3 linked regions of the Anolis sagrei genome follow. Each later gene encodes a partner of the first gene's protein in a complex. Links are inferred from orthologs where the notes say so. Each region holds a gene or a part of one and is shown on either strand. Other genes may lie near its edges.

The links.
Region 2: SMARCE1 (region 1) and SMARCB1 share a complex: the UniProt entries of both Homo sapiens proteins name them as parts of the BAF complex. The link is inferred for Anolis sagrei from reciprocal best matches to the Homo sapiens genes SMARCE1 and SMARCB1.
Region 3: SMARCE1 (region 1) and SMARCA2 share a complex: the UniProt entries of both Homo sapiens proteins name them as parts of the BAF complex. The link is inferred for Anolis sagrei from reciprocal best matches to the Homo sapiens genes SMARCE1 and SMARCA2.

The regions. Positions count from the first base shown.
Region 1 is NC_090026.1:39,307,350-39,311,101, reverse strand, and holds the start of SMARCE1 (SWI/SNF-related matrix-associated actin-dependent regulator of chromatin subfamily E member 1), read right to left. Parts: upstream 2,847-3,752; 5' UTR 2,722-2,846; intron 1-2,721. UniProt on the Homo sapiens protein: Involved in transcriptional activation and repression of select genes by chromatin remodeling (alteration of DNA-nucleosome topology).
Region 2 is NC_090026.1:666,690-670,441, forward strand, and holds the start of SMARCB1 (SWI/SNF-related matrix-associated actin-dependent regulator of chromatin subfamily B member 1), read left to right. Parts: upstream 1-1,494; 5' UTR 1,495-1,536; coding exon 1,537-1,626; intron 1,627-3,752.
Region 3 is NC_090022.1:220,641,956-220,645,707, forward strand, and holds the start of SMARCA2 (probable global transcription activator SNF2L2), read right to left. Parts: upstream 2,859-3,752; 5' UTR 2,712-2,858; intron 1-2,711. UniProt on the Homo sapiens protein: ATPase involved in transcriptional activation and repression of select genes by chromatin remodeling (alteration of DNA-nucleosome topology).

The sequences.
Region 1 (3,752 bases):
CAACCTCCCTTGGCTGGCTCATGTGGCCTACTTGTGAGTAAAGCGCCTCGCAAGGTGCTTTACTTGCGAGTAGACCACGCGGAGCAGCCTCCCTTGGCTGGCTCACACTGTCCATCAGGCCTGATAGATAGCGTGAGCCTGCCAACGGAGGGGCACTGTGTGTGTGTGTGTGTGGGGGGGGGGGCGCTCCTCCTCTGCGGGCCGGATCGGGGCCCTTGGCGGGCCGGAAGTGGCCCGTGGGCCGTAGTTTGGGGACCCCTGGTCTATAGCCTCAAACAAATCTTTTTCTGTACATGAGGCAGGACATTGCAGGCAAGCATACAGATGCGGAGTTGTCTGTTCTGCTCCGTAGCCACACAAGGTGGAGGATTCTTTTAGGTAGTGCCATTTTGTCAGGTTGTTTTGTGATCTGTCCACTCCACTTCTGAGTTTGTTCGGGGACCTCCAAGTTTCCCATTCTTAGTTTGCCCCTAGAGACAGATCCTCGTGGGGGGGGGGGGCATCCAATTGGATTAGCTGCTTAGAACGATACTCTTGCTGTTTCTGGGAAAACGTTAAGATGAGTGGTGGTTCACATGACGCTTTTCCTTGATTAGTCTACTGGGAGGAGGCTGATAACCATGCAGTGGATGGCTTTCAGTGTTCAACCTTATTTCTCTCAGTTAGTAGCAACTTCCTGTGACACATGGGGGGGGGGGGGGAATGCCAGCTAGCTTGTAGAGTTTATCAACAGGTGTAGGTTTAAGACATTATGTGATCACTCTGTATGTTTTGTTCATCACTATGTTCACTTGCTTCACGTGGGCAGAGTTGTGTAAGCCGCATCGAGTCCTTCGGGAGATGCTAGCGGGGTACAAATAGTTTAATAATAATAATAATAAAACAGGGCAGGCATACTTGGCAGCTGAGTAAGACAAGGCCAGGGCAGATGTTCTTATTAATTTTGGGTCTGCACCCCATGTGCTGCCAGTTAAGTTTCTGCAGGATGTTATTGCATGCAGCTACTTTGTGTTTGGTGTTCCTGCAGTGTTTCCTATATGTTAGCGTTCAATCTAAGATGACACAAAGATATTTAGGATGGAAACAATGTTCAACCTCTTGACCTTCCCAGGTAACTTACAATTTCCTGCTGGCTTCATGGTTCTGTAAGTGGAAAGCACACACGTATGTCTTGGAAAGGTTAGGCTACTTTGTTGATTATGTTGTGTTTAATTTATTGATGTTAGGTTCTAATGTCTTCATATGTGGTGTTAATTTGGGTTATTTGCTGGCACTTATTTGTTTTAATGTAATGCAATATAATACTACTAATAATATGGTATTATAATTATATATTTATGTTACATGTAATATTACTAATAATATTACAATATAATGGTATAATACAATATAGTAATATTTAATACTGTTATTGTACTATGCTATTAATACAGTATATTGTGTGTGTATATATATATATCTCTTGTAAGCCATTCTGAGTCCCCTTTGGGGTGAGAAGGGCGGCATATAAATGTTGTAAATACAATAAATAAATTATTGAGGCATTGAATGTTTTCCTTTTTGTATGTTGGTATCTGCCCTGAGTCCCCCAGGGAGATAGGGTGGAATATAAATAAGGGTTTATATTATTATTATTAGTAGTAGTAGTAGTAGTATTACTGGAGCCCCCGGTGGCACAGTGGGTTAAAGTGCTGAGCTGCTGAGTTTGTTGACCGAAAGGTCGCAGGTTCTATTCTGGGGAGTGGCATGAGCTTCCTCTGTCAGCCCTAGCTTCTGCCAACCTAGCAGCTGGAAAACATGCAAATGTGAGCAGATCAATAGGTAGCAGGTTCGAATCTGGGGAGTGGTGTGAGCTCCTGTTGTTAGCCCCAGCTTCTGCCAACCTAGCAGTTCAAAAACATGCAAATGTGAGTTGATCAGTAGGTACTGCTCCAGCAGGAAAGGGACAGTGCTCCATGCAGTTATGCTGGCCACATGACCTTGGAGGTGTCTATGGACAACGCAGGCTCTTCGGCTTAGAAATGGAGATGAGCACCAACCCCCAGAGTCAGACATGACTGGACTTAATGCCAGGGGACAACCTTTACCTTTTAGTAGTATTACTGTGGTGGTTCTTTCCTGTTCATATCTGGGAAATAATACAATCTAATAAGTGAGTACTTATAATTCTTTTCTTTTGTATTACTAAGTGTTGGTTTTAAGAGTGTGTCCATTTATATATGCAAGTTGCCTGTCGACTTATGACAACATTATGAATTTCATAGGCGTTTGTTAGGCAAGGAATACTCAGAAATTCCTCCCCTTTTGTAATGTTTTTCTTTTGTTCTTTTGGAAACAAAATAAAACTTACTTATACAAAAAAAGAAGTAATATTAAATCATTAAATCATTATAATAATTAGGAATTGAGAAAATAAATAATATAATTCAAGAAATTAAAAAAAACAGAAGGTATTTCGACCAGTGTATTGTATGATCAGTGTAGACTCATACAACGCACTTTAACTGCATTATGATAATACTGCAGTATATTTCAAGTCGGCCTCAGCGTTAATTATAATCGACAACGATGAAGAAAAACCTTCCTCTCAGAAACAGGCCTCCCTTCACACCGGCCTGGAAAGGCCTCTGGCTTTGGCGTGGCCGAGGAAGGAGGATTTCTGGGGTCCCGCACCCCAATATGCCTCCTCAGCCAAGCCCCAGCCACGTCCTTCAGACTCACCCGCGTCCCACTCGGACTCGAGGCCTCTCTCTCGCTTCTTTTGTCTCGACACGAACCAAGAAAGGCGGGGATGGAGAAGGAAGGCGGCGGCGAGGCGGCCTCTATTTCACTATTTCCGTTCCTGCTTCAGCACTTTCCACACAGACCTCCCTTTCGCTAGGTAAGAAAAAAAGGTAAAAACCTAACAAGAAAATCCTCTCGAATTCCACTTTAAACAGTACACATATACTTTCCTCCTCTTGAGTTTCAAGACGTCCTCTCTTCCGAAGGTTGCCGTGGCAACGACGTGAAAGTGCTGCTTTGAATTCCAAGCTAAGGGAAAAGTGGAGGAGGGAGGAGGAGAGAGCGTGCTGGATGACGTGATGACGTCATCGATCGGCATTGCGTGAGGAGCGTGATGAATCCATACAACCTGAGCAACTTTGGGATGGTGGCTTAAGTATTTGAGTTGTTGCTGCTGCAACCAATTGCCTTTTAAAACAATGTTCCAAGCTGGGGTTTGACGGCCTTTCTTGAGACAGGCCCCTTCCACACAGCTGGATGAAATCCCACATTTGCTTTGAATTGGGATATAAGGCAGTGTGGACTAAGGGCCCTTCCACATAGCACTGTATCCCAGAATATTATTTATTTATTTATTTATTTATTTCAGATACTTGCACCCCACCCTTCTCACATAAACAGTTAACACACCAATTAAAATTCTGGTCTGGCTCAATTAATTGTCACTTCGAATTTGCTTATGTCTTCTTCATACATGCCACTATTCAATGGCCAAATGCAAGGTCCCACAGCCAAGTCTTGAGTTTCCTTCTAAAGGACAAGAGGGAGATGGCTAATCTGATGTCTTTGGGGAGGGAATTCCACAGACAGGGAGCCACTGTTGAGAAGGCCCTGTCATCTCCACTAATCACGTTTGCAGTGGCAATGGGATCAAGAGCAGGGCCTTTCCAGATGATCTTAAACTTGGTTGTTGCAGGTTTTTTTGGGCTATATGGCCATATAGCCCGAAAAAACCTACAACTATCCAG
Region 2 (3,752 bases), about 39 Mb from region 1:
GGTCAGTGGTTCCCTTGATGTCTGGCAGGAACACTTTTCCTCTGGGTGGATCTTCCTCTTTACTCTCGTGGCTTGTTCTTGGTCTTGCAGCTCTTCTGATGCCTGAGGTGGAGTCTCCCTTGGCCTGGAGAGCCCAGTTGAGGTGGTTCAGTTCATCTTGGAGGAGGTGGGCTTCGCAGATTCCTTTTGCATGGTCTGCCAAGGCTTTGATGGGGCTTCTTTTTTGACTTGGGTGATGGTTGGAGTTTTTATGTAGATATCTATCTGTGTGTGTGGGTTTTCTGTAGACGGTGTGACCCAATTGTTGATCTGGTTTGCGGATGACGAGGACATCTAGAGAAGGCAGTCTTCCTTCATTTTCTTTTTCTATGGTAAACTGGATGTTTGGGTGGATGCTGTTCAGATGCTCCAGGAACCTGTTGAGTTCTTCTCCTCCATGGCCCCAAATAGTGAAGGTGTCATCCACATCTCTGAACCATATGTTTGGGTGGATGCTGTTCAGATGGTCCAGGAACCTGTTGAGTTCTTCTTCTCCATGGCTCCAAAGGGTGAAGGTGTCATCCACATATCTGAACCATATGGTGGGCTTTTTGAAACATTCACACCTAGCTCCAGCACACAAGAGCTCTTTGCCCCACCCTGGACATCATTCCACAGATATATAAACCCAATTTCCCTAGTTCCAACAGACCTCACAACCTCTAAGGATGCTTGCCATAGATGCAGGTGAAACGTCAGGAGAGAATGCCTCTAGACCATGGCCATAGAGCCCGAAAACAACCAATTCTCACCTAGCTCCAGCAGACAAGAGTCCTTTGTCCCACCTTGGTCATTCCACAGATATATAAACCCATTTTTTCCTACTTCCAACAGACCTCACAACCTCTGAGGATGCTTTCCATAGATGCAGGCGAAACGTCAGGAGAGAATGCCTCTAGAACATGGCCCTATAGCCCGAAAAAACCCACAAGAACCTAGTGAGGGAGACAACTTTAGTCAGGCAGTGGGGAGGACAGCCCTTCTCTCCTCAGGGGTCCTTCAGGGCTGCGTCACCGCGCACGACGCTAGACCGTCGCCCCTAGCAACAAGCCACGCCCCCAGCACGGTTCCGAAGAGTTCCTCGCTTTAGTCAGGCAGTGAGGGAGAGAACTTTAGTCAGGCAGTGGGGAGGACAGCCCTTCTCTCCTCAGGGGTCCTTCAGGTTTTCCCATACGGGATGCTAGACCGTTGCCCCTAGCAACAAGCCACGCCCCCACCACGGTTTCGAAGAGTTCCTCGCTTTAGTCAGGCAGTGGGGAAGACAGCCCTTCTCTCCTTCTCTGGGGTCCTTCAGGGCTGCGTCACCGCGCTCGACGCTAGACTGTCGCCCCTAGCAACAAGCCACGCCCCGTTAAAGGCGCGAAAAGGAAGCGGGGATAAAGTGGCCAATGGGAAGTGCCGGAAGAGGCGCGCCCGTGATGACGCAGGGCAGGCACGCCCCCTTCTCGGCGCAGGCGCAGTCCGTCTCCTGCTCCTCCTGTTCTTGTGAGGCGTAGGATGATGATGGCGCTGAGCAAGACCTTCGGGCAGAAGCCCGTCAAGTTCCAGCTGGAAGAAGATGGCGAGTTCTACATGATCGGATCCGAGGTGAAGCCGGGGAGAAGGGGAAGAAGGGAAGGAAGGAAGGGAAAGGGAGGGAGGAGGCCTGGCCTGCCTTCCTTTCATTCAGGAGAAGGAGAAGGGTGGATTGGGCCTTGTGGTCGCTTCTTCTTCCCCATCTTGTTGTTGTTGTTGTTGTTGTTATTATTATTATTATTATTATTATGTGGTATCTTTTAACCACTCTATCCTGTATTATTAATATTCTTCTACCATGATTAATATTAACAATACATGATAGAGTTGGAAGAGACTTAATAATAATAATAATAATAGGAACAATATTAATATTGTTCTATTATTATTATTATTATTATTAAGTCTCTTCCAACTCTATCATGTATTAATAATATTGGGTTGCTTTTTTCTGTGGGAGGCAAATGTGAATGTTGTAATTAATCACCTTGATTAGCATTGCACAGCCTTGCAGCTTCAAGGCCTGGCTGATTCCTGCCTGGGGGAATCCTTTGTTGGGAGGTGTTCACTGGTGCTGATCGTTTCATGTCTGGAATTCCCTTGCATTCAGATTATTAATATTGTTCTATCATGTTTTATTTATTTATTTATTTATTTACTTACAGCTTTTATGTTCCGCCCTTCTCCTCACTCCACAGGGTACTCAGGGCGGATTACAGTGTACACATATATGGCAAACATTCAGTGCCAATTTTTTACATACAAACATATACAGACATACACAGAGGCTATTTAACTTTTTCTGGCTGCTTTCCTCGTCCATCTGCGATGCTGATGAAGCACTTCCGCATTCCCCGCATGCTTCCCCGCTGGAATGCTTTGCTGGAGTCTTCTTTATGGCCTCATAAATCAGTTAATTTAGCCTCCCCACACTTTAAGGTGGTACCTAATTTTCCTACTTGACAGATGCAACTGTCCTTTGGGCTGCAAAGGTCGACAACAGGCTACACACAATTGCTTGGAAGCCCACTCCAACCCGGGCTGGCTTCGAACTCATGACCTTTTGGCCAGAATGATCTTAATGCAGCTGACACTCAGCCAGCTGCGCCACAATCCCGGTATTATTAATATTAATCACGATAGAACAATATTAATATCAACAATACATGATAGAGATGGAAGAGACAATAATAATAATAGACCAGTAATAAATAAATAAATAAAGCTTTATTTGTACCCCGCTACCCTCTCCCCAAGGGACTCAGTGCGGCTTACATAAGGCTGAGCCCACAATACATCAATACAAGCAATAACAACAACAATACAAAGCAATTAAAATAAATCTCAAACACAAATAGCATAAACATTGACAATAGCACAACACACATTTAAAATCTATGGCTGGGCCAAATGTAATTAAAATTTAAAATAATGCTGGGCATGAACAAGATAGGGAGATGGGGCGTTGGAGGGAACATTCAAACAATCCTAAATCAGAAATGTCAGGAGAGAATGCCTCTAGACCATGGCCATATAGCCCGAAAAAACCTACAACAACCCAATCCTAAATCAGTATAAGGTGCTTTAGAGGACATAGTATTTATATTAATATTGTTCTATTATTATTATTATTATTATTATTATTATTATTATAAATATTGGTCTATTATTATTATTGTCTCTCTAACTCTATCATGTATATTAACACTGTTCTATTATTATTATTATTATTATTATCCACTGAGCTGCTGAACTTGTTGACCAAAAAATCACAGGTTCAAATCTGGGGAGCGGGGTGATCTCCCGCTGTTAGCCCCAGCTTCTGCCAACCTGGCAGTTTGAAAATATGCAGGTGTGAGTCGATCAATAGGAACTGCTCTGGTGGGAAGGTAACGGTGCTCCATGCCGGCCACATGACCTTGGAGGTGTCTACAGGCAATGCCAGCTCTTCAGCTTAGACATGGAGATGAGCACCACCCCCCAGAGTTGGACACGACTTTACCTACTTTACCTATGACTATTAGCTATTACTATTATTGTCTCTTCCAACTCTATCATATATTATTAATATTAGTACTGTTATATCATATATTATTACCATTTATCATAGAACAATATTGATATTGGTTTGTTGTAGGTTTTTTTGGGCTATATGGCCATGGTTTAGAGGCATTCTCTCCTGACGTTACTCCTGCATC
Region 3 (3,752 bases), on another chromosome or scaffold:
GAGAGAAGGGGGATTTCAAACCAAGGCAGCCTTCCAGGTCTAGCAATCTATTTCTTTACTGACTTATTATTTACTTTTGGCCAGCACTGTCTGATGTGTCAACATGTTTAGATCTCCCTCTGTTTATTGCAAGGACCAACTACTTCTTTACCTTGACAGGAGAGGGGATTTCCAAAGCCACACAGCTCCCCGCCTACCAATCTCGATCAGTTTTCCTCTCCCTAGTGACTGAATAGGCTGGGTATTTCTTTACCTTCCGGGATTTCAAACCAGCACAGCCTAATCTAGCAACACATCCAGATCTGTTTATCTCTCCCTAGTTATTGAATAGGCCAAGCGCAGCTTAGCCTTCATCAGGGTGGATTTCAAGCCATCCCAGCACTCCTCCTCCACAGAACTAGAAATATATCTGGTTTTCTCTCTAGAGATCTAGTTAACTACTTCTTCGCCTTAGCCACGGCCAAGCCCCCCCCCCTCAATCTAGCAACACATTTGCTCAATTTATGCCTCCCTACTTATTAAAAGAGGCCAACACAGCTCATTTGCCTTTGCCACTGGGAGAGGGGGGAGGGATGCTTCAAACCAATGCCCCCCATCTGCCAAACTGTGTTTACCTACTTATGTCAGAGGTCAGCTACTTCTTTACTTTCTCCATTGGCAAAAGGAGGGGGGAATCTGTTGGGGATTCCAAATGAACATAGCCTGATCTAGCAACCTCTTTAGATCTGTTTATCTCTCCCTACTCACTGAAGAGGCCTAGTACACATTTGCCTGTGCGTGGATTTCAACCCAACACAGGCAACAGACCTAGCTCTGGGTTGCTGTGAGTTTTCTGGGCTGCATTGCCATGTTCCAGAAGCATTCTCTTCTGATGTTTTGCCTGCATCTGTGGCAGGCATCTTCAGAGGTTGTGAGGTCTGTTGGGAACGAGGCAAGTAAGGTTTATATATCTGTGGAAAGTCCAAGGTGCAAGAAAGAACTCTTGTCTGCTTGAAGCAAGAGTGAATGTTGCAGCTGACCAGCTTGGTGAGAATTGAATGGCCTTGCAGCTTCAAAGCCTGGCTGCTTCCTGCCTGGGAGGGTATTAGCTGGCCCTGCCTGGACTCAAGCAGACAAGTGTTCTTTCTCCCACTTTGGACCTTCCACAGACATATAAACCCCACTTGCCTAGTTTCCAACAGACCCTTCAACCCCTGAGGATACCTGCCATAGATGTGGGCAATACGTCAGGAGAGAATGCTTCTAAAGCATGCCAATACTGCCCGGAAAACTCACAGCAACCCAGTGATTGCGGCCATGAATCCTTCGACAACAGACCTAGCTCTATGCCTCCCTCTTTACTCATTTCAGAGGCCAACTGTTTATTTATCTTCTCCACGAGGAAAGGGGACGTTTGTGGAGGGATTTCAAATCAGCACAGCCTGATTTAGCAACGCATCCAGATCTGTTTATCCCTCCCTAGTTATTGAACAAGCCAAGTACCTCTTAGCTAGCAACATCAACAGATCTATGTGGCTCCCCCCTCCCACACCCCGCACAACCTAAACACACACACACACACACAATCTAGCAACAGATCTATCTCCATGTATCTCTCCCTACTCATTATCTAAGAGGCCAGTTATCCTCGCCAGGAGGGAAAGGGGATTTCAAAGCCACACAGCCCGATCTAGCGACATCTTTAGAGCGATGCCTCTCTGCCTACATATGGCCAGGGGGGCAAGCAAGTCCTGCGATCTAGTGTGAGTGTGTGTGTGTGTTTATGTGTGACAGACTGGGAGATTATCCGGATCATGGCCTCCTTGTTGCTGGAACGGGAGAACCCTGCTGTTGCCCCTTGGGCTAGCTCTCCAAACTCTCAAAAGCCCAGGCAAAATAACAACAGCAGCAGCAACAATAATATAATAATTTAATAATAGATGGGCTCCGGCGCTTTGCTCGGGGCAAGAGCCAACTTCCAGCACTCTTTTTTGCTCCCAAGAGGCATCCACAAGAGCAAACCTTTCCACCTTCGTCTCAGCCTTCCTGCAATTACCCCCTTCCCCAAAATAAAGGGTCGCCAAAGGGGAAAGGAAACAGACTGTCGCTCTCCCATCGCTCCAATCCAGAGAGGAAAGGCAGCCAGCCAGCGTTGCAAGAAGCCTTCCTCCTCCTCCTCCTCCTCCTCTTCCTAGCAGCTTGTTCCTAGAGCTATTTCTGGCTGCTTTTGGGAGCCAAAGCCCTAAAGGAGGAGGAGGAGGAGGAGGAGGAGGAAGAGGATGGGGCCGCTGCCTGCCTGCCTGCCTCTTGCAGCAGCCGAGAGCCCTTTGCCAGGTCGAGCTGACTCACCCCGCCAGCCCCCTGCTTCGGAGGGAAGGTCACGATCCGGCGTGGATCCTCTTTGGCAGCCTCCAGGCAACCCGGATCAAACTTTGGCCCCATCTACACTGCCCTGTAATGCAGTTTTGCGACTGCCTTGCAGGGCCGGCGTGCAGACTCACGTCCTGCAGTTTGAACCGAGTCTCAAGCCGCATTATAGGGCCGTGTAGATGAGGCCCTCTTTTCTGGAGGAGAAGCCACAGCGAGAGAGAGTCTCCGAGGGAGGAAAGAAGGGGGGGGGGTGGAGGGGTTGCACAATCCAAAGCCAACTCTCTGCTCCCCTCCTCCATCCCAACAGAGGAAATAAATAAATACATCCAGGGTGGCAGGAGAAAGTTGTAAACAAGCGGTACCTTTCCGGGGGAGAGCGGTGCGGTGCGGTGCTGGATGCCTCCCTCTCTGAGTCACCCGGAGTACAGCTCCGGCGAGGGGAACTCGATTATGAATATGACTTCATTGATGACAGGCGAGCCCTCCTCTTCCTAAACTCCCGGCCCGCCTCCTGGCTCCGCCCACTGCCTTAGCTCCCGCCCCTCCCTCTTCGGAAAAGGCAGGCGCGCTCCCATTGGTCCAATTGCGCGGCAAGCTCCCCCGCCCCCTCTAAAGCCGAACGCGGCGCCGGGTTGGATAGAGAGAGCTGTCCATCAAAAGCTTACAGTCGCGCGCTCTTGTTTTCAAGAATTGTGGAGACAAGCTAAGCGAGAGGCGGAGGGGGAATGTCGTGCGTACGCGCATGCGCGGGAAGGAAGCGAGCAGTGCTCGAGGCTGTCCCTGCCTTGTGCGCGCAGAATAGAGCGGAAGGTCTTCGCTGCAGAATTAATACGGTTTGGCACCACTTTAGTTGCCACGGCTCAGAGCTATGGAATCCTGGGAGTTGTAGTTTGGTGAGGGACAAAGCACTCTTGGGCAGAGTAGTCTAAAACGTCGCTGTTCCCACGATTATTGAGCCAGGCAATGAAAGTGGGGCCAAACTACATTATGGCCCCTCTTTTTTCATCTGTCCCTTTGGGGCAGGAAGGAGGGCGGACTGCCAAAAGCAACCCATTTGTGCCAATCAGCTGCCCTTTCAACTTTCAAGTATCCCTTGATGAAGTCCTGGCACCAAGAGCTTGTTTGCTAAGCATACACCCAGATGGAGAAGCAGCATTGAAAGCTATTCTAGAAATGTGTTGTCGAAGACTTTCATGGCCAGAATCATTGGGTTGCTGTGAGTTTTCCGGGCTGTATGGCCATGTTCCAGAAGCATTCTCTGCTGACATTTCACCTGCATCTATAGCAGACATCCTGAGAGGTTGTGAGGTCTGTTGGAAACTAGGCAAGTGGGGTTTATATAGCTGTGGGAGAAAGAGCTCTTGTCTGTGGAGGCAGGAACAATGGCTTCAAACTACAAGAAA